2 linked regions of the Coturnix japonica genome follow. The protein of the gene in region 1 interacts with the protein of each later gene in a biochemical or structural test. Links are inferred from orthologs where the notes say so. Each region holds a gene or a part of one and is shown in the gene's direction. Other genes may lie near its edges. The genes, in order: STXBP5 and STX1A.

Evidence for each region.
Region 2: the proteins of STXBP5 (region 1) and STX1A form a complex in vitro, tested with the Homo sapiens proteins (2 studies listed by BioGRID). The link is inferred for Coturnix japonica from reciprocal best matches to the Homo sapiens genes STXBP5 and STX1A.

What each region holds. Positions count from the first base shown.
Region 1 is NC_029518.1:42,454,842-42,466,755, forward strand, and holds part of STXBP5 (syntaxin-binding protein 5), read left to right. Parts: intron 1-1,508; coding exon 1,509-1,559; intron 1,560-6,298; coding exon 6,299-6,538; intron 6,539-7,858; coding exon 7,859-8,228; intron 8,229-10,043; coding exon 10,044-10,209; intron 10,210-11,009; coding exon 11,010-11,121; intron 11,122-11,914. UniProt on the Homo sapiens protein: Plays a regulatory role in calcium-dependent exocytosis and neurotransmitter release. Inhibits membrane fusion between transport vesicles and the plasma membrane.
Region 2 is NC_029534.1:102,071-114,084, reverse strand, and holds the start of STX1A (syntaxin-1A), read left to right. Parts: upstream 1-4,684; 5' UTR 4,685-4,782; coding exon 4,783-4,812; intron 4,813-12,014. Other genes in the region: MKS1 (Meckel syndrome type 1 protein), read left to right, coding at 1-63, 146-243, 699-802. UniProt on the Homo sapiens protein: Plays an essential role in hormone and neurotransmitter calcium-dependent exocytosis and endocytosis.

The sequences.
Region 1 (11,914 bases):
TTCTTGATCTTTCTTCAAGCTGATGCAAGTTATAGCTGACAGCAGGAAGAAAGATTCCTTGTCGTTATTGCTGCATTGTACCACAGTTTTCTGTATGCACAGCTGAGCACTGATCTGAAGCAGAACTTAATCTTGTTGAGAACAATCCTTGTCAGAAACTTCATTAAGATAAGTTTTGGGCTCATCATTAAGCTGGGCAGCAGCCAATGCAAGGATAAGGGTAGGAAGTATGTATGTAGCTGCAGTGCTCTTTTCAGTTTCTGACTGCATTAGATAGAATATGTTGATGTGCCTAGCGCTGTGGTCTGAGTTCAATTTAATTTGACCAGGATGTGCTTTGTAACAGTGACACATGAAGGAAATGAGAAGGTTATTTCTGGAGACTTACTCTCAAATTTTTATTACATATGACAGGAATAAAACTGTTCAACTATTCAGTTAACTAGACTTTGCAGTATTGATGAGCACAGTTGATGATACAGTGAAATACTTTCATTAATGATGGAGTGGAAATAACTTCGAAACATACACTCCTTTTTGGAATTTGTGGAAAACAATTATTTTTGTTTAAACAGGTAGATAGAATGAGTGAATTCCACTTTTAAATGAGAGGAGCAAAAAGATTCAATCCTGCCTTATGACTGATAAACATTACAAGGTACTCCTTAAACTGAGACTATCCTCAACATCTGTTTTAGGTAGAAAAGTGTTTCCCTTATAAGATAGTGAAGAACTAAACAATGAATCAAAATTCAGGCATGTGGCTAAGAAATAAATTCAAGTTCTATTGTTGGACTACATCATTTTTTTCCATTCTCCAGTAGTTATTGGTGTAAAGATGAAAGGGGGGCGTATGGCATTAAGATTGCTAGTGACTCTGTTTTAGCAGCATGTTGGATACATGCTTTATCTCCACACAGTATTGTCAGAACGTGGCTCTTTTTGAGTGTGACAGGAGTTTGCATGCCACTCATTTTAAAATTCTTCATAACTTCTTCGTTCTTCTAAGATTGCAGATTGCATCTCAGATTACTAGCTTATTTTACACGTGTACATGTTAGAGTAATTAAAATGTATTATTTTCTCCATTTTAAGTATCTCAGGTTTGATCAAGAAGTAGGGCAGAAGTGTGGATGGGATGTGAACTTGATGAAAGTTTCGGCGCACATTCTTGTAGGAGCTGCATTATCTCCTTTTACCTGAAGAGATAAATCTTGAGTTTGAGCCAAAGCAAAATTTATCCAATATATCAAGTTATTTCAGATGCCTAAGGGGAAATGAAGTTTGGCAAAAGTAATAAAATGCTATATTTGGGGATTACAGTAGTTTCCATGTTCTACTTTGCATGCCTCACTTGTGAAAGTGAGGTTCTGCTTTAGCAGAAATCCGGTTAAGTACTGCAGTTAACGTTATAAACAATGATACATTAAATAATTGGGAAGAGGCAAATGAAGGCCAGCAGAATTGTGTTTATTCTTTTTAAAAAAAGGCTATACTTCACTTTTCAGCAAAGATGTCCAGGAAGCTAAGTTTGCCAACTGAGTTAAAGCCTGATTTAGGTAAGTTTACAGAGTTGTATTTTATATTTACTGAAATTGTTTTACAGAATGTGAATACATTTAAGTAAGAATCCTTGAGCATGTAAAATGTCGTGACTGGGTTGCTTTATTTGAACTGTAGAACTTAAATTTTAATTCCACTCATTTGGGGGGTTCCCTGGCACAAAGCATCATTGCTGTCATTGTAAGGTAAGCCTGCAAATCTTGTATGTGGCTTAGCGCGTTTTGGTGATTTTTTTTATTAGGCATCTGTCACTCTTATGGTAGTGCTGTGATAGAAAAAGTGTGAATAAGCAGGTAATTTATTGTAAGGAAAATTGCTTGCCAATTTGAAGCCGTCCAATACTTTTCAAATTGAAACTATACAGTATTTAGGAATGAGGATATACTGAGGTCCATTAAAAGGTTGGACATGTTTTTACAAGTGTTAATGGCATTAAGATCATTTCTATCAATGAAAATGGTGTACAACTGTTTGCTGGATGGATGACCAGTCTGAGAATTTCTTTTTTTTTTTTTAATTACTCTTTTTACATAGTAAGCATTTCATTTATGAAGCTTGTATTGCTAAAGGTCGTGATATTGCATAACTAAAACATACAAACAAATAGACATTTTTATTACTTTGTCATCAAAAGTTGACTGCCAGCTTGTAGATCAGATGCAGCTCCTCAGCTTTTTTCTCTGGAGATGATCAGGGACAGCTGTAGACCCGCAGCAGTAGATGCAGCCTGAGTAGGAAAGCTTCATTTTGCCTCTCACATCTCCCTCCTGCTGCTTCTGCAGCAGAATCCTTTCCACAGCCCCTGTAGAATACAGATCAGGTTCAAACTGGTAGGTGCAGAAACATGCATTTGAAAATTACCACTATCAGCAAGAGAACAGTTGATGATATTGGAATATCCTGAAACTTCAGATTTGGACCACCATGATTTACGTTACAGCTTGCTCCACTCATAGAAATGTGAAGCTGTAAGGAACCCTCAGAGATCATTTAATCCACTGCTGTGGCAAAGATCCAAGTGTCTGACAGTTTAACCTCTCATTGATTCATGGGTCTCCAATAAATAAGTTCCTAAAAAAATACCAGATGAAGTTTATGGTTTATATCCAGTTAAATAAATTTTCTGTTAGTCAGACTGTCTCCCTTATTCCCATACTAATTCAGATTTTTTTCTTGTCCTTTCCACGAGGAACACAGATAACTGTTACTCCATTTGTTTGGTAGACATCTTTGTAGATGCTGAAAGCTACCTACTATCATATCACTAATCTTCATTTTTGCAGTTAGGTTTGAAGTGCTTGGTTTTGTTGCTTTTTTTTGTTTGTTTATTTATTTGTTTTTATGAAATTAAGCTCCCTCTCCTTTGCCAATTTACCTTGACTAAATCTAGTCTTCTGATAATTCTTCTGGACAATATAATTTTTTTCATCTTTCTGAAACTCTTGTGCCTGGATCTAGAAGGATTTAACCATGGCTTTGTTGACACCAATGAGCACAGAAATTCTATTTGTCTTTTCAGTGTCTGTTCTTCCTCACTCCCATCACTGACAGGTTAGGGATGATTTCAGTTTAATTTTGTCAGACTTTGCAAACTGGGATATGTTTGCACAAAAATGTTATTGAATGCTATTTTTTTGTTTGTTTGTTTTTATTTGAAATTCTTCAGTAAATGTAAGTGACTAGAAATAGAATTCAGTGTTTTATGTGTGATTGTTGCTGATTTTTTCTAATAATATAATGGAACCTTTATTTGATCAACTCACTTATTGAGTATTTATAAAGTATCTTTTAACATCTAACTGTAATGATATTTGACTGTTTTTGCTTGACTATACCCACGTGTGGCTATATACACTTAAGTAACACTTTTTGTTCTTGTAAAAGTTTTATTTTCTAGTCTTTAAGTCTGTAAATAACAACCTGAGATGATGATAGTCTGATTTTATTCGGTATTTTTTTCTCCTAGTGGAATAACTTTTCAATAGTGTTCTTCAGTAACTCTCAACTTGATTATATCTTTTGCTTTTTGGTTAATTATGTGACCATATCTACTGGCTCAAGGAAACAGCTGAAATGCCTTTCTCCCAAGTTTAATATCTTCATCATTTTCTCTCGTTTCTTTACATGACTTCTTGAACCTTGACCACTTTCACTCCTTCATGAGTGCTTTCTTTGAAATCACTTTTCTGTCTAGATCTTTAAACTACTCCTTACCTCCCTACGTGGCTAAAACAAAACGTGCTTCTGCATTTATGCTCCAATTTTTAAAATAGAAGTTGTCTTCATCATACTCCAGTCTGCATTATACCACTCCTTTTCACTGCTGTAACCCAGCTGGTTACTGTCATTACCACTAAATCCTATCCTTTGGTTTATTTGCTCAGAAGATCCTCATCTTTCCTTCCTTCTGATGAAGTGGTGTGTAGTGAGCCATTGCACCATTGTTCCTTCCTCTTCATTTGAAAATATTCCATTAACAAACCATAGATCCTTCCGTGACCTCAGGGTAAATAAATACACATTAAAGCAGTCAAACCTTTTACTCCGTTATCTTCTGTGAATCGGTTGTTCACTCTCCACAATGCCTGTATTGTCTGGCCAGTTCGTTTTTGTTGTTGTTTTTTTTCAATACACCTGGAATTTGTATGCATACTTTTCAGATGTTAAAGCAGCTGTAACTGAAGAAATGTGCAAGTTATGCCTGTTGCATTAATTGTATTTTTCTTGGGAAAGGGGGAAGGATCTTACCTGAAATAAGGCATACAGAAAGTGTGTTCCCAGATCTTAAGTCAAAGGAATAGAATTAGAGAAACCACAGGTACCCTGAAGTTCTAGTAAGCTGCTAGGATTTGGGTTAGCTTTTCTTTACACAAAAAGTTTACAGTTGAGTTGCATTTCTGATTCTGAATGTATCAATATGTTCCAGCTTTTGTTTTTTACCTTAATTTGGAGACCACCTAAGCTTTTTTAATCTTTTCAAAATGTGTATTTTAATGTAAGCAAAATTCTGATGTTTAGTGTATTCAGAGTGACTAATCTGTTAAAGTTTAAAAATAAAAAAAATTAAAAAAAATAAAACCTTAAAGAAGCATCTTAAGAGGCTGTGGTCATCAGAAAAATTATAAAACACAAATTATCTTTTTCACCATTTCTAACTTGATTTGACTTCTTTTTCTGGACATTGGTTTTAAATATGTAAACTTTGCATCAGTATCTGAGTGTTGACCTTCTTAATGCTTGGTATTTTATATTTGAACTATGTAAAAGTAAGCAGGACAAGAGTTTTTCTGTCACTGTTGGAGTAAGATGGGTCTCTCCTGAGATATTCACTGTTTTTTGTTTAGATGTCTGTATTCAGTCAGTTGAAATCAAGTTCTATGCTTTTTCAAATGTAAGTTAGATATTTCTTGTAGAAATTTCTGCAATCATTCAATGAAATTACTATTTTGATACTTTAGGTATGTAGTTTAGTGTTGTTCTTTATTAGTCCTGCTTATGAAATGTCGCTTGCCTCCATTCTCCAACCAAAGATCCAAAACAGTAACTTAGTTTTAGGAAGTCATTATGTGATATGCATCAGACTTGTGCTGATAAGGATTGCATTGTGCTAAAATTTTGGAATTATGCATTGAGAAAGTCAAGCATTAATTGGAGAGTGCACAGATAGCTTCAGACGTGCTGATATATTAAGCATTGCCACGTGTGCACACAGCACATGTCTATAATAGAGCAGCGTGATTTCTAATTCGATGATTTTTGTTAGTATATGAATTCACTCTGTTAAGAGAAACTTATTTGCTAAGCAAAGAATAAGACATCCTGAAAAGTTTTGGTGCCACCTTGTACTATATTCAAAACAGAAATCTTCAGCTTTGCATGACAGTTCCAATTGTGTTTGGTGGCCTTGAGTGTTTCTCTGATTGAAAATTCAGGTGTATGTTAATAACCCAAGACCTCCTCTGGGCAGTTTCCTGAAGTGGGACAATACTGAATCATTACAGACTGTCAGTCTGTCTGGATGTTTTGTAGGTCTTAATGTAGTTATATCTTCATTAAATCATTAAATCATGCTTTGTGGAAGCCAGTGGTTTTTAACTTGGTCAATTAGGAAATTACAGACAGGTATGTAATTCACTTGTTTGAGTTTTTCTAAGAACTCTTAATGATTGATAACTGCTCCTTCTATCTTGAGATAAGAAATGTCATGTACTTTTCTAGGGAATGTAGTGACAGGACAAAGGATGAGAGTTTAAACTATATTTAAATAAATAAATAAATAAAGGGTAGATTTAGATTAGCTATTAGAAACTTCACCATGAGGGTGGTGAGGCACTGGAACAGATTGCCCACAATGTGGATGCCCCATCCCTGGAGGCATTCAAGGCCAAGTTGGATGGGGCCCTGGGCATCCTGAACTAGTTGGTGGCAGCCCTGCCTACATCAGAGGGTTGGAACTAGGTGATCTTTAAGGTCCCTTCTATAGTCCATTCTATGATAAGTCATTCATGAAATAACCTGATTGCTATCTCTGCAAATCTGGGATGCCTTGTTCAGGATAAAATAGTGGAAACTGAATTAGAAGGAGCTATCATTAAGGGAAAATAAAATAGTTATAAAAATCAATAGACTGATACATAATATATGTATTCTATGCTAAACAACAAAACCAAAATAAAATCTTAATTTTCTTAATTCCTATATTTAGTTCTTCTAATTAATACTGATTTATTTTCAGATGTTAAAGACAACTCTTTCAGTCGATCCAGGAGTTCTAGTGTAACTAGCATTGACAAAGAGTCACGTGAGGCAATTTCAGCTCTTCATTTCTGTGAGACTTTCACAAGAAAAGCTGATACATCACCTTCTCCGTGCCTGTGGGTCGGTACCACCCTGGGTACAGTGCTTGTCATTGTACTGAACCTACCCCCAGGAGGAGAGCAAAGACTTCTTCAGCCAGTAATTGTTTCTCCTAGTGGTGAGTACAAAGCAGATGGGCACTCAAGAATGCCAAGTATTGTTGTTATTCATGCTTTTTTTAATAAACTTGTTCTCAATTATGGATTAATTGGAAATTAGTATGTACTGGCTAATAGGTTTAACAATCTAGGTTGCTTGCTTTATAACCAGAATTTTAAAGTTGCCAAGTTGATAATATGATCTCATAAAGTATAAAAATATAGAACTATATATGCTGACAAAAGCAGACCTTCTAGCTTTTGTGTAGCCGATGACTATTATTGATCAATGGAGATGTGCATTTTAAGTATTTTCTAATTGCAACATAAGATTTTAGTGAATAGTGGAAAAAATAAGAGCTATATATTTTAATACTTCAAATATTAGTGATGAAATGTTCCTTTGAATTACTGAAATACCTTGTTTTGTTTTGCTGGTACACAGCAACTGATTTTGTTATAATTATATATTACTCTTTTTTTTCAGTGATACCTTAACAAAAATAAAAACTGAATAATACACTGTTAGGAATAGTTTTGCCTTTCTTACTACCACAGTTTCATTACAGAGCATGATGGGTCTGCTTTACAGAAAAATTGCACTCCTGTTTGAAGAAACGGTGTGAACAATATGGTCACTAGACCATGTTTGCATTAACAGTATTCAGATTTGGTAATGTTTTATGTTGAAGGCAAGGCAACAGACTGGACAGTGTGTTGAATCATCAGATCTGCTGCAATACGTATTATTTATTATGCATTTAATAAATTTTTCTGTTACTACTTGTGTGTGACTAAATGAGTGAAAAAAGAAATATATCAGCCTACAATTAAACACAAGCAGTTGAGAAGGAAAACATTTTTGCTTTATGCTAGAGAGAAGTGGATTCAAATGTTAACTATAGGAAAAAAGAAAAAGAAAACAAGTTGCCAGTTTCTGAACCCATTTTGAAGGAAAAATTCTTGTTAATTGCATTTATGGTAGATACTGAGTGCACAGTGCGCTCCTCGAGATAATAAAATGAATTGTGCTTGACACTGGAATTCAATATAAATATGCATTCTGGCTTGGTTCTCCTAATAAATGTATACATTTATGTTGGTGTTAATGGAGTGTATGCATGTATGTATTTAAACTTTGAAAACTGTTTTAATAATTTACTGAATGTACATGCACTTGTACATGCTTCAAGTCCAGAGATTTTAAGTCTATTTTGGTAGAGATAACCCTAAGCTCTAGTTTAGTTTTCATTCTTCTAGCTTGTTAAGGGAGTATTTTTTTTTAGTTTGAATGACAATTTAGGACTGTTTTAGAAATGTTCTCAATTTATATTTCCTAGGAACCATCCTGAGGCTAAAAGGGGCAATCTTGAGAATGGCTTTTCTGGATACTACTGGATCTTTAGTCCCACCTGCTCATGAACCCTGGAGAGAACATAATGTTCCTGAAGATAAAGATGAAAAAGATAAATCGAAAAAGAGACGACCAGTCTCAGTGTCCCCCTCATCCTCTCAGGAAATCAGTGAAAACCAATATGCAGTGATATGTTCTGAAAAGCAAGCAAAAGTTATCTCACTGCCATCCCAAAACTGTATTTATAAGCATAACATAACAGAGACTTCTTTTGTTCTTCGTGGAGATATAGTATCATTGAGTAACAGTATTTGCCTTGCATGTTTCTGTGCCAATGGACATATTATGGCTTTTAGGTAAGACCTAATAGATAGTAATGTATATGAATATATATATGATATGAGTCTCCTGCTAGATGAATTTCTTTCCAGAAGAATACGAATAAAACGGGCATCCAGTTCAGTGTTGATAAACTTCTAGCATCTGCAGCTGAATATTTTGATTACATATTCCTATTAATTTTGCCCTTAGCACGTGAACAAGTTTATCATTTTAAGTCATTACTATAATTCAACAAATAATTCCAAACATGATATAACTGTTGAAAATTGTCTCAACAAGGAATTTACTCCTTGTTGGAAAAACCTGTCCTGAATCAGACCTTTAGCTGACCACAGCTCTGCATATTTTTGTGCAGCTACTGCAGTCCTGTCTGCTTCTCAGTCATGTCTTGAGCTTTCTGTTTTGTTCTGTAGCTTGCTCATGTCTCGAAAGTGAGATTAATTTATAGCAATTCTAGTATTAAAAAATCCATAAATGTATAAATGTGTGAAGAAGTAATTTTGAGGGTACTTGTGTCATTTATTTAATTTTTACCTGTCCTTCTTCTTAAGGGTTTACAAATGCTCTTTTCATTCTGAGTAGTGATGGAGGGTGTGGGGGGAGGGACCTGTGGCAAAGCAGTTCACTCTTCATAGTTTAATCCTAGGAATATTCCTATTTTAGATTTATGCTGGGCAAATGTGTCATCACTGGTAGCGTGCTTACAGAAGAATGTTGCTTTTTATGCTTTTTATTTCTTACCCATAGAGCTTGCCACTAAAGTCATGTTATCTATTCTTCTTCCTTTTCTTTGTGAATCTCCTGCTATCGGACAACACCCAGTCTGTAAAATGCCAGCCTAACATTTAGAAATTTCAATATCACTATGAAGTAGAGCAGAAGACAAGAAACTTAGTTTAGCTTGTATGGTATTTTTTTCTGTATCATTAGTTTCAGTTTCAGTATTCCCCTTTATTGCTTTTTTAGTCTTTTGAAATAAGAATCTTAGCAGCAGAAGCTGCTTAATATATTGATGATAAATTTGCAGCTAGTGTGTAAATTCTATTTTTACAAAAATTTCCTAGGGAGTATTTTTGAGGTATGGGTTCATTTAAGGTTCTGTTTATCAAGACATAAGGCATTCAGTCACTTCTTAGTTGCGTTTAGTATTTCTTTGAGGGAGAGAAATGTTTGGCAGCTTGAGCGTTATTACAGAATGAATGTGTAGCATCTGTTCTTCAGTAGCTTAATGCACTAAGTACTTCAGTAATGTATGCAGAAAACAGAACAAACAAGGTAAGCAAAACAATGCTTTAAGCTGATTTCATTTTATTTAAAGAAACCGTATATTTATACATTTTCTATTTATACAGTCAGATGAAAAAGGGCAGGCATAACTTCACAAGAATGCTGTTTGAGTTTACTGAATTTTCTGTTCCTTTGGAAGCGCTGTCTTTGCATATTTCCCTGGGTTCCTGAGGACAACTCTTGGGTTTCAGTTTTAGTCAAGAAGAAACTTGTCACCTGAGAGAAGAGGCAACTGTATATGAAGGGGGAAAAAAGTAGATATTTATTAAAGAATTTCATTAGTAATTACTGAATAATGCTTTAAGTGTGCCTGAGATTTATGTACTCAGAGTATCATTTAAATAATGCTTTGAAATGCATTTGTGATACAGATGTCTGAGTTTCTCTTTTGAGGTTCTTCCTTTAAGTACTGCATATTTATGTTTGCAGATTTCCTAGTTGTATTAAATGATGCCCTCTTTATACAGTACTTGTATGACCATGAAGAGAAAAATAATGCAACATCCTGTTACATTTCTTTTTTTTTTTTTTTAATTCTTAAGTTTGCCAAGCTTAAGGCCACTGTTGGATGTGTATTACCTGCCACTCACTAATATGCGAATAGCCAGAACGTTCTGCTTCACCAATAATGGACAAGCCCTCTATCTTGTCTCACCAACTGAAATACAGAGGCTCACCTACAGTCAAGAAACATGTGAAAATCTTCAGGTAATGAATAAAACCAAATCTGCTGTCTTCAAGCGTAGCTGTTGTCCAAGTAGTTCAGTTTTAAGTTTACAGTGCTTATTATTATATTTGCCATAAACTAAGTGCTTCAGCTTTTATGGTTTGATTTTGCTCACTGCCAAGTCTTAATCAGAGTGAATCATTTCCCCCACTCTTACATTGTACTGTTATCCATCCTCTTGTATTTGGAATGTGTCTTACTTAGTTTCCTTTTTAGTCTGTATGTATCTTTGTTTAATATGCACAGTTAATAGAAATCTTGTTCAAATAATTTTGTTGGAGGTGTATACGGACATAATTTGGGATTACTAAGATACAAGGAAGCTATTAAGTTGCCAGGATACTAACAATTTGAACAGATTCTCAACACTGCTTCGGCCTGCAAGTTGTATAGAAGGTGGATATAACAGAATTAGTCTGCCAGCTCTGCTTTGATGCTACCTGTGCATATTACTATTTGTAGATGCAGTTTCAACTGAACAAGATCAAGAGTGCTGCCCAATTTGAGGTGAAAATACAGCTTTGCTCGATCACATTTCTTTGCAAATATTCCTGAGCTATAAGCTTGCAAATGTCAGGACAGATGGTTTGGACAGATTTCCTAACAGTTTTTTATTTTTACTTCCTAAGCAGTGTTAACTATCTACTGCAAAGGCAGATGCGCATTAAAGCATATTCATTTTGAAATTCAGATCCACAAAATAAATGTCCATAGTGACAAAGTATTCCATTAATTTGTATGTGAAATGATGTATGCCTTCTTGTATCTCTTCATTGCCAAGGAAATGTTAGGTGAGCTCTTCACTCCTGTTGAAACACCAGAAGCACCAAACAGGGGGTTCTTCAAAGGCCTCTTTGGAGGTGGGGCGCAGTCACTTGACAGAGAAGAACTCTGTAAGTCTTTTGAATTCTTTATTAATCTGTTATTTCCATCCAGATATTGCCTGTGTTAACTGGACATTCAGTTTTCAAAGAGGAAATTGAGAAATTAAATGAGGAGAAATACTTTAATACTTTTCTAAAGCTTTAGATATTCTACAACTTACCAGCAATAGTAGAAAATTTGTTACTGTTTTCTCACAAGACTGCCTTACCTCATTTACTCAGAATTGGATGATAAGGCAATAAACGGGACAACCAGTCTTATTTATCTTAAGTGTATAGCACTGTCTGTCATTCTTTTAATGCTGCTAAATGGAAATAAACTGTTTATAGAGAGCACTGTTTTGGACAGTAAAAAAATTAACTCTATTATGTACTTCAGTTAATTTCCTAGATTCTTTTTCATCGTTTGACTTGTGTCAGGACTGAAAGAGATGATTTTTCATTGTATGTTATTTCATTTAGATCTCCATTCACAGTATGATACATTTCACACGCGCCCAAAATTGTATTGCTTTGTCGTTTTCTCATTACTTTTTGAATACAGATTTAATAAACTTTTTGTTGTGGTTGTATGCAATATCTGCTTACATTCAAGGAAAAGTGAATGAACTTTTACTAAATCATATATTTGCCAGATTAAACATTATATAATGTAATTTCTATTGGTTTATAGAACTGTCCCCTTTTCAGCATGAAATATTGTTATTAAACAAACAAGATTCCTGGCAATCTCTCCTCTTCCTCTCCTCTTCCTCTCCTCTTCCTCTCCTCTTCCTCTCCTCTTCCTTCCTCTCCTCTCCTC
Region 2 (12,014 bases), on another chromosome or scaffold:
TGGTTTTCGCACAAAGACAACAGGGAATGTCACGTTCCGGCTTTACTGCCTGCAGCAATCCAAGTGAGTGCAGCAAAGTGAGCACAAGCTCTGTGTTGTGTGCTGTGTTCTTCCAGCCCTGACCTCGAGCTGTACTTCTGTGCAGAGCCTTTCTGGAAACTAATGCCCTGAGGCATCGCATGCAGAGCGTTCTGGACCGGCTTGGAGGCCTCAGCCAGCAGAGCTCTGTCTACAATGTTCTGGGTAGGACCTTCAGTCTCCTTCTTCGAGGAGGACCTTTGTCTCACTTTTACCTCCTGTTTACAGGTTGGTCAGGGTATTTCAGGAGAATCCATTGCTTGAAGTGGAATTATCCCCCACTGTGAGCTCTCTCTGAGTTAAAACAGAAGTTAAATGTTCTGACCTGACATTGCTGGAAATTTGAGGAGGCATCAGCCCTGAGCAGTCAGAAGGGATACTCGGTCCATGAGGGCAAAGCCTGGGCTGGGCTGCCCAGTCTTGCACTGAACATAACTTGTGGCTGCGGTGTGCAGAGTCAGTCTCTGATCCATTATGCGCAGAGCAAAGAGCAGCAGCAGTCAGGTGGTACTTAGTGAGACCCCTGTTCTGAGAGGTGATGTGCACTGGACAGACTTGTCCTTCCCGTTCCCTGCGGCTGTCTGATGTGTTCTGACTTGCTGTCACCTGCTGTGTTGCAGAGGCTTTCCATCGGGCTCGGCGGCGGATGCAGGAGGCCCGTGAGAGCCTTCCCCAGGACCTCATCAGCACTTCTGCCTCCAGTGTGTGGAAGAACCCTGACTGACAGACTGACAGACCGACAGCCTCACTGCCTCTGGCCTGGGGGCAGCCCACATCTCTCTGACAGAAGCTCCCAGTGCCCTGAAGCTCTTTGAGGCCCTTCCTTTGCAGACAGGGGCAGAGATGCTGCCCTATGTCTCTCTATAGCACATCCATACTGAGAATCGTTTCCACAGGTGCGCTGTTTGAAGGCATTTTGTTACCAGGCCTTGATGTTAGAGCCAGTTGTTCATGTTTCTGCTGAGCTGACTAAAATACTGACATGAGACACGTGAGCTTTTTGAATATTGAATTGTAGGCAATGAGAAAATTTTCAAGTCTACTTGACTTGATAGATTTACTTTTCTTCTTAAAGAAGAGGGTTATGTTGAAGGTCAGGGCATGAATGTTGTTTGAGATTTAATTAACTGAGTAGTGAACTTACTGATAGTTACCATCAGCATTTGAAGCTTTAGGTCAGTTTTCAGTAAAATGAATCTGACCACCTGAGATTTAAAACTGATTCATTCCTAGAGAAAGGGAGGGGTCTTCATCGCATGGAAACCAAAGCAAGGAAATTATGTGTGACAGAGGCCAGACTGGAGAAGAGGGTTCTGTTCTGTATTTCTTTTTATCTGTGGAATTTCTGGCTCTTCTGACTGCAAGGATGAGCAGAAGGACTTTGGGAATACAACTGAAAATACATCTTCTCTTTAGTTCATAGAAGAGCTGGGCTGGATGTTGCAGATGAGAACAGATTGTGACATTTGCACAGCAGCTGAACTTTGAACTGTTAAGCTCTTCATCTGAGCTGCAACTCATTGCTTGAGCTCAGCAATACACTGCATTGCTTCCTGGGGAAGCATATGTTTACACAGTTTTTACTCACTTTCTTCTTCTTTTCTCAGCCTTTTTTATTCCCCTATTTTTGTTCCTGTCTCACGTTCACAGGACTGGGGCTACCTGCAGACCCACAGTGATAGGAAGAAAAATATCACACAGGGCTGAGTGCATCTGAAAAGCCAGAATTCGCAGGCAGGACACAATAGGAACTGGTTTCCTCCTCTTGCTCCCCATGTTTGCCCCTAGCAGGGGGTGGCTGTTGAGGAGATGCAGTACATAGATGGGCTCGGGATCGAGGGGTGAACTTTACTGTGGCTGCTGTCGCTCTTACAAAGAGGACTTTTGCTTGCCAACCTCACCTGCTACCCCTCCTTTTTGGCAGAAGAGCCGCCAGCCGAGATGAGGTAGCATGGCCTGTTAGTGCAGCAGTGTCCTTGGCCAAGCACTGGGTGGATGAGTCAGCTCTCCAGTCATGCTGGTTGATGTGATGTGGCAGATAAGACTGAGGCACCAAATTTGGTCTGAGTTCGCAGGTCTGAGAATGTCCATTTTGTTGGGGTGGCACAGGACAGACCCCTGTGATGGGCCCCCTCAGCCTGTGCGTGTTGCTGGTGGGCTGAGCAGTGAGGCTGTGCAGCTGCAGTGAAGTGTACACAATAATACAAGTTTAGAAGTTAAGGCCTCAATTTCACAGAAACGTGAGAGCAAAACTCAAAACGGCGCCTCGGTGGATTTGAAAGTCAACAGGAGGGGCCGGGAGCTTTGGGGGTCGGGGGGGAGGGACGGCAGCCGTTATTGGGGGCGCCCTGGGAGCGGCTGGGGGGGCGGCGGCGGGGCAGGGGAGCAGCCCCCGGTAGTGCCACGGCTGCAGCACGGAGCTGCTTCCCGAGCATCACCGGCTGCTGCCGCCGGGACCGCGGCGTTGGCGGAGCTGCTGCGGCGCTGCCCCGCGGGGCGCTGCCGGAGGCTGCGTTCAGCCGCGCTCCCGCTGATGGCTGCGGTCTGTGCGGGGCTGAAGGCGCCCGGGGCCCCGCGGGCTGCTCCTTAAATAGACGTCACGCACAAAGGGCGAGGGCGGAGAGGTTGGCGGGGTGGACGAAAAGGCTGCGGGCAGTTGGCTGGGCTCGTAGGATGAAGAGCGGAGCCCTCGGAGATCCCGGCGTGAACAGAACGGAACAAACTGGAAATGAGTCATTTGCGCGGCGGGGGGGGGCGGCTTTGCAGCGCCGCCAGATCCCGGCAATAGATTTTACTCAACGGAGGAAGACGAGGGGTGCGAGAACCTCAAAGCGCGATGTGCCAGCGGGGCTGCCGCGTCCCTCCGGCCCATCCCGGCCCCGCGAGTGTGCTGCGGGCGGCACTGAGGGCGGCATTGCGGGAGGTCCTGCGGGAGGCATTGAGGGCGGCATTGCGGGCCGGCTCTGCGGGCTCGGCGGTGCTGCGGCTCCGGGCGGGATGGGGCGGGCCGAGATGGGTCACTGCGGTGCGTGGGGAGGGAGAGGCCGCTCGTGGCCGCTCGTGGCCGCTCGTGGCGCCGAGGTGAGTGAGCAGCGCCGGCTCTGCCCGCCGCCCGTGATGCTCGTTGTCTCTTCGAGACGCCGCCTGCGTTCTCTGAAGCCAAACCCGACATTTCAGCGTGCGTCAGAGCGGAGCTGCGCGGAGAGGTGGCACAGTGCGTCGGACCGGTCAGAAGAGAAACGGCTCCTTCGGCCTCGGAACCGCTTTGGTTCGGGCGAGGCTCCTTACGCAGGTCTTTGAATCCTCCCACCTGGCGCGGCCTCGTGCTCGGGCAGCGCAGGAAATCAGATGGGGCTGACGCGGTGACGGACTGTGATTAATTCACAGCGTCTTAAATGCCGGAAAAAAATAAAATCTGACTCTCCAAATGGTTGTGAGGATTTCTGCAGTGGGAGGGATTCCTGCTCGGGTGTCCGGGTGGGTTTGTGCTTCGCAGAGCTGTGGGAATGAGGACAGTGGGAAGGTGCGTTTCCCGCGGTGTGTCCTCACCCCTGGGGGGATCCAGATGGATCCGTGTGTCGGCTCAGTTCAGATCACCCCAAATCGCCCCGAGAGATGTTTGTTCAACTGATCTTGAAACGAAGATGGAGACAGATGGAGACCACAGATCGTCCCTCCCAGATGTTTTGTAGGCACGGGGCGCAGCTCTTCCCTTTTGCTCGCACCGCACGGACGCCCTTCTGGACTCACGGGATCCTTCCCTCACCGCCCGCAGCTCTCGGCGTCGCGTTTTCCCCCCGCACACTGTCCCGCACGTCGCTCACGGCGCCCGGCCGCCCCGCGGTGCCCCGGGCAGAGGACGGCATCGCACCGCGCGTCCCTCGGCACAGCGGGTGCCGGGCGCGGCCCTCCCCGGGCGCTCCGTTATTCGACGTGCGGCTGCGCCCGGCTGCGGGATCCGCCGCTGCGCCTCGGGGGGCGGCAGTACCGGTCTGGGGAGGGTGGGGGGACAGCGCTGCGCGACCATGGGGGGGGCTGAGGCCGCGGAGCCGAGATGGGGGAGGTGCTGACGTGGGGACATGGGGGCTGGAAGGATGGAGCGGCACGAGCCGGCAGCACGTCCTGGTAGCTCTGTAGACAGACAGCCCTGCACACAGCCCCGCACACAGCCCCGCACACACACAGCCCCGCACACACACAGCCCCGCACACACACAGCCGTGCACACACACAGCCCTGCACACACACAGCCCCGCACACACACAGCCCCGCACACAGCCCAGCAGTGCGGGCAGGGATGCGCCCCTCGTCCGCAGCGCCGCGCCCGGGTTGCGCTCAGCGCAGACAGACGCGGCGTAAATCGGGGCGCTCAGAAACGCCCCCGGGGCCGGGACGCCCCGAGCGGGGCCGCGTCCGGCGGAGGACAAAAGCCCATCGCGGGGGAGGGGGGGGGCGGGACGGCGGCGACTCCGCAGCCACGTCACGTAACCGGCAGCGCCGCGGGGGCGGCGGCACCGGGGGCGGCTTCTCCCCCCGCACCGCCCCGCACCCCCCGCGTGCCGCCCCCTCCCCCGGTGCCGCCCCCACCACGTGACTCCCCCGCCGCTCCCAGCCGGCCGCGGGGCCGTTCCGCGCCGCTCCGCCGCTCTGCGCGCATGTGCCGCGCCCGCCCGCCCCCCCGCGTGGCCGTTCGGAGCGGGGAACGATGAAGGACCGCACCGGGGAACTGCGCGCCGTGAGTGCGGGATGCGGGGCGCTCCCAGACAGGGAGGGAAGGGGATGGGATGGGAAGGGGATGGGATGGGATGGGATGGGATGGGATGGGATGGGATGGGATGGGATGGGATGGATGGATGGGATGGGGGCTGCTCTGCGTCGCGCTCCCCCCGCGGTCGGCGCCGCTCCTCGCGGTCACAGCGGCGTTGCGGTGCGGGGCGTTGCGGGGCCGGGTCGGGTCGTGTCTCTCCGCGGCCCCTGCGCCCATTTTGCGCTTCGGTTCTCATCGCTCCGCTGATGTCACGCTGCGGCCCCGCAGCGCGGAGCTGTCCCTGCGCCTGTCTCTGTCTCTGTCCCTGTCTCTGTCTCTGTCTCTGTCTCTGTCTCTGTCCCTGTCTCTGTCTCTGTCTCTGTCTCTGTCCCTTCGCGGCTCTGGTCCGTGCTGGGAAATGTCTGTTCGGTGACAGCGGACCGACTCGTGCCTCTGTCCTCCCTGCGGGGCCCGCGCCCATGTCCGCCCGGAGCGGCGCTGACGGTGCGTGGAGCGCCGGAGCATCTCCGTGTTCCGCTGCGTGTTGGACGTGAGATGGAGGAAGACGAAAAAAAACCAACAAAATAAATAAATAAATAAGAGCTTCATCAGGGCGCGATTTCGCCTCTCTCCTGCGGGAGATCCCCGCTCCGTGGCAGCACCGCGTGCCCGCAGGGGCGGTGCGGGGCGGGGTACGGCGGGTGGTGCGGGGCCGCTGCTGAGCGCCCCACGGCGCCGTTTGGGGGCAGCGCCTCAACTGTCCCTGCGTAGCGCTGGTCACAGAGAGGGAATGGGGTCAGATGGGGGAGCCTGAATGAGGTGAGGTGGGGAGTGCTGGAGGAGCCCCTTTGACTGGGCTGCGTGCAGTCGGAAACGCGGTTCGTGTCTGTAGCTCCTCGGTGACTGCTGGTTGTTGGCTTCCAATGGGGCTGGATAAAGCCCACCCCGACGGGCCATAACTGTGCCCCCCACGAGGAGCTGCGTGGTGCGGTGCTCGGGGCAGGCAGTGCTGGGTGGGCTCAGTGTCTGTCCCTGCTGTGCTGGGCTGTGCTGCGGGGAACGCTGCAGAGATGCCTCTCAGGTCCGCGCTTACAGCAGAGTTGACCAAAGTTGCTTTTTGTAGCAGAGCCCTGTGCCCCTGTTCTCCATGTGAGCATCCTTGTGGCCCACAGTGCCGGCTCTTGGTACGCAGAAGGCGCCGTTAACCCCGGGAATGGATCTATGTACTTATATCAGTGCTGTATTCCTTTTGTTTTTTAACCCTCTTGGTGGTGTGCAGTTCTTTCACGCTCTCCAACCTGAAGGGTGGTGTTAGTTGTTCAGCCCTGCTCCTTCTACTGCCTGCCTGGGCACTGGGAGTGTTGTATGGGAGCAAGATGATGGGGGAGCACTGGGGGAGCAGCTGTGCTCTGCAGGCAGCACCAGGCAGCACACTGCGCAGGGTGTCACTGCTTCGCCCCACCACGTCCCCTCTGAGCTGCTGTGCTGGAGGGCTGCGACACACCGTGTGCCATGGAGGCTCAGCCCAGCCCTTGCTTTAACTGTGAGTGTCTTTGCCTTTGTGCGAGCTGCTCGGAAGCTGTACAAATGTTTGTTTTGCCATGTATCTCCCTGCTAACAAGATTGCTCAGGAAATATGCAAAATGATCACTACGGGCAGAATACGTACAGTAAGGCTCATTAAGCTAAGTACTGTGATAAATTGCTACTTCCAGAAAATTATGTGTGCTAACAAAAAGGAGGAGGGAAGCCCCAGCGCCAGCCCCAGCAGCTGCAGTGGGTGCAGGCAGCGTCCTCTGAGCAGCGGCCGTGGGGTCACCCTCAGAGCAAAGCCATGGAGAGCGGACAGCAAATGGAGCGGTGCGGCGCAGGAAACAGAAACAAGCGTGTGCTGTAAATACCAGCCCAGGCATTGGGCCAGGAAGGAGAGCATTGGTACAGAAACATGGCGAGAGCCGTTTCTGAAGCAGGAGGGATGGAAGGGCTGCAGAGCCGCTGCAGGCAGGACTGCTGTCTTCAGCAGCTGCTCGAGGTGGGGCAGAGCGGCTGAGGCAGGCGAGGATCTCTGCGTCATGGAGTTACAGCGTGGTTGGGTCGGAAGGGACCTCACAACCCCTCAACGCTCCCCCCGCCCCCTTCTGCCATGGGCTGGGTGCCCCCCAGCTGCGGCTGCCCAGGGTCCATCGTGGCCTGGGGCACCTCCAGGGATGGGGCACCCACAGCTCAGGGTAGCGGCGCAGCACCTCTCTAGGTGAAGAATTTCTTCCTCACATCTAACCTAAATCTCCTCTCTTTTAGTATAGAACTTCTTGTCATCTAACTGTGTTCCTTGATAAAGAGTCCTTACACAGCATTTCTGTAGACCCTGTTAGGGGCTGGGAGGCTGCACAAGGTCTCCTCTCTTCTCCAGGCAGAACATCCCCAGCTCCCTCATCCTGTCAGCACAGCAGAGGTGCTCCAGCCCTCTCAGCACCCTCTTGCCCTTCTCTGAACCTGCTCCATCAGCCCCACGTCTTTCTTGTGCTGGGAGCCCCAGGCTTGGACACAATACTCCAGATGGAGCCTCACAAGGGCAGAGCAGAGGGGGACAGTCCCCTCCCTGCCTGCTGCCACCCCTCTGCTGATGCAGCCCGGGCTGCTGGCAGCTCTCTGGGCTGCACGCTGCTGGCTCTGGTCAGCTCTCCCTTCCCAGAACCCCAATTCCTTCTCTGCAGGGCTGCTCTCAAGGAGTTCTTCCCCCATTCTGAACACATACCTGGCATTGCCCCTACCCAGGAGCAGCACCAAGCACTTGGCCTTGTTAAACCTCAGATGGTTCATGTGGTCCCACTTCTCAATATTGGATCCATGTGGTCCATGCAGGGGCACCCACATTGGGTGCCCATGTACATGTCCAGGCAGCTTCTTACCATCTCAACAGAGGAAAGTCCAAAGCTCTCAGGTCCCTCTGTCTGCACAGCAATGCTCCCTGACGGTGTGGGGAACCTCCTGTGCTGCAATTTGCTCCCATCCTGGCACTGGCAGTTTCCCTTCCTACAGTGCTTCTGCTGCGATGTCTGTTACAAATTCTTTAGCATTAAGCCTTCCTTTTGTCTTCTGTTGCTTTCAGATCTTCCAGTGGGACCTGTCAGACGTGCAGCATGCAATGCACAAAACAAATGTTCATTTTGCCAGGAGACATTTCAGCTCTGCCTTCTGGGAGGGCTGATGTCTTTCATGGATGGTGCTGTTTCCTTTACAATCTAGATGAGAGCACCCAAGAAATTTCATCACTGTGTTTATAGGCGGCAATGTCTGATGGGAGGGATGTGGGTGTTGTAGGCTGCGCTGGCTTTCATGTCTTTCCCAGAGAAGTGAGCAGTGGGAGAAAGCAGAAGGGGAACATTTCCATTTCTCCAGTGTTTCAGAGTAAATCTGTGTTCATAGAGTCATGGAATGGCCTGGGTTGAAAATGACCACAACGATCACGGTCAAGGAGTTTCAACCTCCTTGCTATGTGCAGGGTCACCAACCACCAGACCAGCCTGGCCTTGAATGCTTCCAGGGATGTGTTTGAGGGAGGATGAGCAGGGACAGTCCCTTGGTGGAGGTCTGTGGGGCAGAGCTGCTCTGAGCTGCAGCCCTACCTCAGCCTTATCTGTGCTGGGGGATGGAGAGCACCTTCTTGCCACGCTGAGCCCGTGCTCTGAGCTGTTGGTACTCATCATAGCACTGGGGTATCCTGGAAGGCTTTGTGGCATCATGAATGCACCTGGCTGCCTTTAGCTGCTGGGTGGGATGGAGCATTGCTCCTTCCAGAAAGACTCCGGAGGAGTTGGCCAGAGCTCCGACAGAGCCGTCGGGCTTCCAGCCAAAGGTTGGTAATGTAATTCTGCAATGATGAAAATGAACACCTAAAGGACAAAACTCCTGGAAATCTTGTGCTCTGCTGTGCTGCTGGTGTTGGAAACTGGAAACACGTGATGACTCACGCGGATGCTGGTGAGCAGTAGTCAGTTTTGCCTTCAACATTTATTCATCAAAAGTTGCTGGTCCAAAATACGGGCTGGTTTCAGTAATGCTGGAATTGGATGTAACAGAAGGGTCCTTTGGGAGCTGCCTGGTGTGGGTGCTGAGCTGCTCTCCATCACATCTGAAATGTTGTGGCTGTCAGCTGAAGGCTCCGGGGACTGGAAGAAGGGAAACATTGTTGCCGTATTCCGGAAAGGGATGTCTGGGGAACTGCGACCTCGTGAGCCCCAGCTCTGTGCCTGGGAGCACCACGGAGGAGACGTGGGGCACAGGGGAGATGAGGAGGTGACGTCGGGCAGCTGGCACAGCTGCAGCAGGGGCAGAGCATGGCTGACCCACCTGGCGGCCTTCAGTGATGGAGTGATGGCGTTGGTGGACACTGCCCAGAGCTGTGGGTGTCCCATCCCTGGAGGTGCCCCAGGCCACAGAAGGGCTGTGGGCAGCCTCAGCTGGGGGACACTCAGCCCATGCAGGGATGGTGCTGGATGGTCTTTACAGTTCACTCCAACCTGGGCCTTTCTGTGATAACTAAATAATGGCCTACATGCTATAAGATATCCAGGGCTGTGAAATACTCCATTTATTATGCTCTCTAGCTGTACTGTATATATATATATATATATATATATATATATATATATACAGCGCTTCTTGGAACCATGTTTGTATGGAGCAGAGCTTCAGTGACCTGCCCATGTGCTCCTGAGCACGGCAGAGCTGTGTGTGCAGCCGGGCTGGGATGCAGCCTGCTGTTTGTGTGCGGTGGTGCTGGTAGGCTTTTAAGATGGCTGAGAGTAGATTTTTCTTGCGGCTCATCACTGAATTATTCTGACCTCATCCATCTTCACAGCGACGTGCATGGCCAGGAGCTGGAGCTGCATAGCCAGCGGAGGGTGGCAGGAGCTCTCTGGCAGCTGAAGGGGATTCTGGGGGCTCCTGGGCTCAGAGGCAGGAAGAGCCAAATGGTTTTTGGACATGTGTGTGCAGCTCAGCAGACTGTGCTGCAGAGGTGTCCGTTCAGTGAGAACGGGAGAGCAGCAGCCTGCATTTCCAAGGGAAAAGCCAGTGTAATGGCCTTCTTAAGGGGGTAGGTGCTGCTGTGGCCGTTTTCTGACCTTCTGTGCTTCCATAAAGCTTGCATTACCTCCTGCGGTGACACGGGGTGGCACGTGGTGCTGGCCCTGCAGCTGTGCTGGCACAGGGTGGCTGTCGACTCCGGCTGCGTGTTGCTCACTGTGGCCTTGCCTAGGAGGAGGTTGTCTTCCATGGCTGGGGCAGCCGGTGGGTTTGTGCCACCCCCTGGGCCACTGAGCCCACCATGGCCTTGTGAGGTTCTGCTGCTGGCTCCTCAAATGCATCCGGATGCGGTGAAATCGATCTGCAGCGCTCACGGCACAGAGCAGGGGATGAGTTTGCGTGTGACTGCTGCAGAGATAATAGAGACCTTGTTACCGTCATGTCACAGCTCTCCCTGCCTGCTGCCTCTTGGTTTTCCGTGTGGAGCAGCAGGCTTCCAGCTTGTTCAGTGGGTTTGTCCTTCTCAGCCATCTTTCAGAAATGAAGCTTGTTGGAAGCAGAGGGATGTAACCTGCTCACTATGAATGTATTAGCAGCGTCCCCATTACCAAACGCTGGGAAGCGTGGGGTGCTGGGCGCCCTCCCCAGCCCTGCTGAGCCTTGTGGTGCAGCTCTGCCTCCTGCGCCAGCTGCTCCCTGCATGTCACTGGGGCTATTGTGTTGACGAGCTGACCCCGCTTGGACCTAGACCAGAGCTTTGCACGTGTCTGACAACCGCTTTGGGAACATGGGGTGGCCACACTGGGAAATCTTTTGCCGCAGCTCTTGGTGAGGAATCCACATGCTGCCCCTCGGGACGATGCTTAGGTTTCCGTGGGGCAGTTTGCTCAGATTTGTGTCTGTTTTGGCAGCAGTGTAAGGGAAGCTGCTTCAGCCCTGGGGTGACAGTGCCTGCAGTGCGGTGCTGCGGGAGTGAGACAGGGCGAGGTGTGACCTGTGCTCCAAGCTGTGCTGCTGCAGATCGCTGGGAGCTGAGGAGTGCTCTGCTCACCTGGGGACAGCTCTGTCCTTGCAGAGCCCTCCTGAGCCTCGCAGGTACCCAGGGGCTGCTGCTGCTCCTTCCTGTCCCTGGGGCTGGGCAGTCAGCTGGGCGCTGCGTGCTGGACGTGGCGCAGCACAGAGGGTGCTTCCAGTGACGTGGCTGGGACAGATGGTGCCCTCATGCAGCCCGCAGTGACTTCGTGGGAGTGACACGTGCCCTCCCCACCATCAGGCTCCATCCATGTAATTTCCTCTTCCCAGCCGGGCTCCTGTGCTGCTCTCCCCACACACAGCAGGGCAGCACCGTTCTCAGTGCCTGCCCTAAATAACAGCACGTTGTAGGAGGGGGTGAGGGAGGGGAGTATTGGGGGACATCAGGACCTCTGGTGCTGTTCAGAGTCACAGCAGCACAAGAAGTCAGAAGAGGTGCTCGTTGCTTGTGCTCAGCTGCAGATCTCCTGACAAAATGTCCCTGCTCGGTGCAGCTCTGGGGGGCACGAGGTGGCTGCTGCTGGGTGCGGGGTTCCCCCGGCGGTGCTGCAGCGCGTCTGTCTTAATTAGTGGCAGACGGTTGATGCTGAAAATGAAGCACAGCACAAATGAAGTGGGATTTGTGGTCACGTGTAAAGCAAAATGCAAACGTGGATCCCAGAGCATTTTGCTGGCTCTGGGAGATGATGCTGTAACTTCTCCTGTGCTGCACTGCCAGGCTGGCTGCTGGAGCCTTCTCCATCATCCCTGGGGTTTGCCGTGTGGCCCCATGGGGAACTCGCACATGGGGGTCTGGGTCTGGGCAGCAGTGCTGCTCTTTGTACCTGTTGGGGGCAGACTGTCATGTCGTAGTAGCTCTCGGATATCTTTAGATATGGCTTTCATGGCTACCAAAGCAGATGGTGCTGTGAGCAGTGGCTAGAATAGAAAGCTGGGATCTGCTCTAGAGGGCTCCACCTAACTCAGCCATCATAGGTGGAAAAGACAGTTTTAGGAGGAAAAAAAAGCCAGGCTGTCACCTGGCATATTTCAGGGTGAGGAATCCTGTAGTTCCCCCTGTCTGTACTGGCCAAGTTTGTGCATGTGTGAATGGACCGCAGGGCAGTGAGCAGGGTGGCAGACTGAAAAGA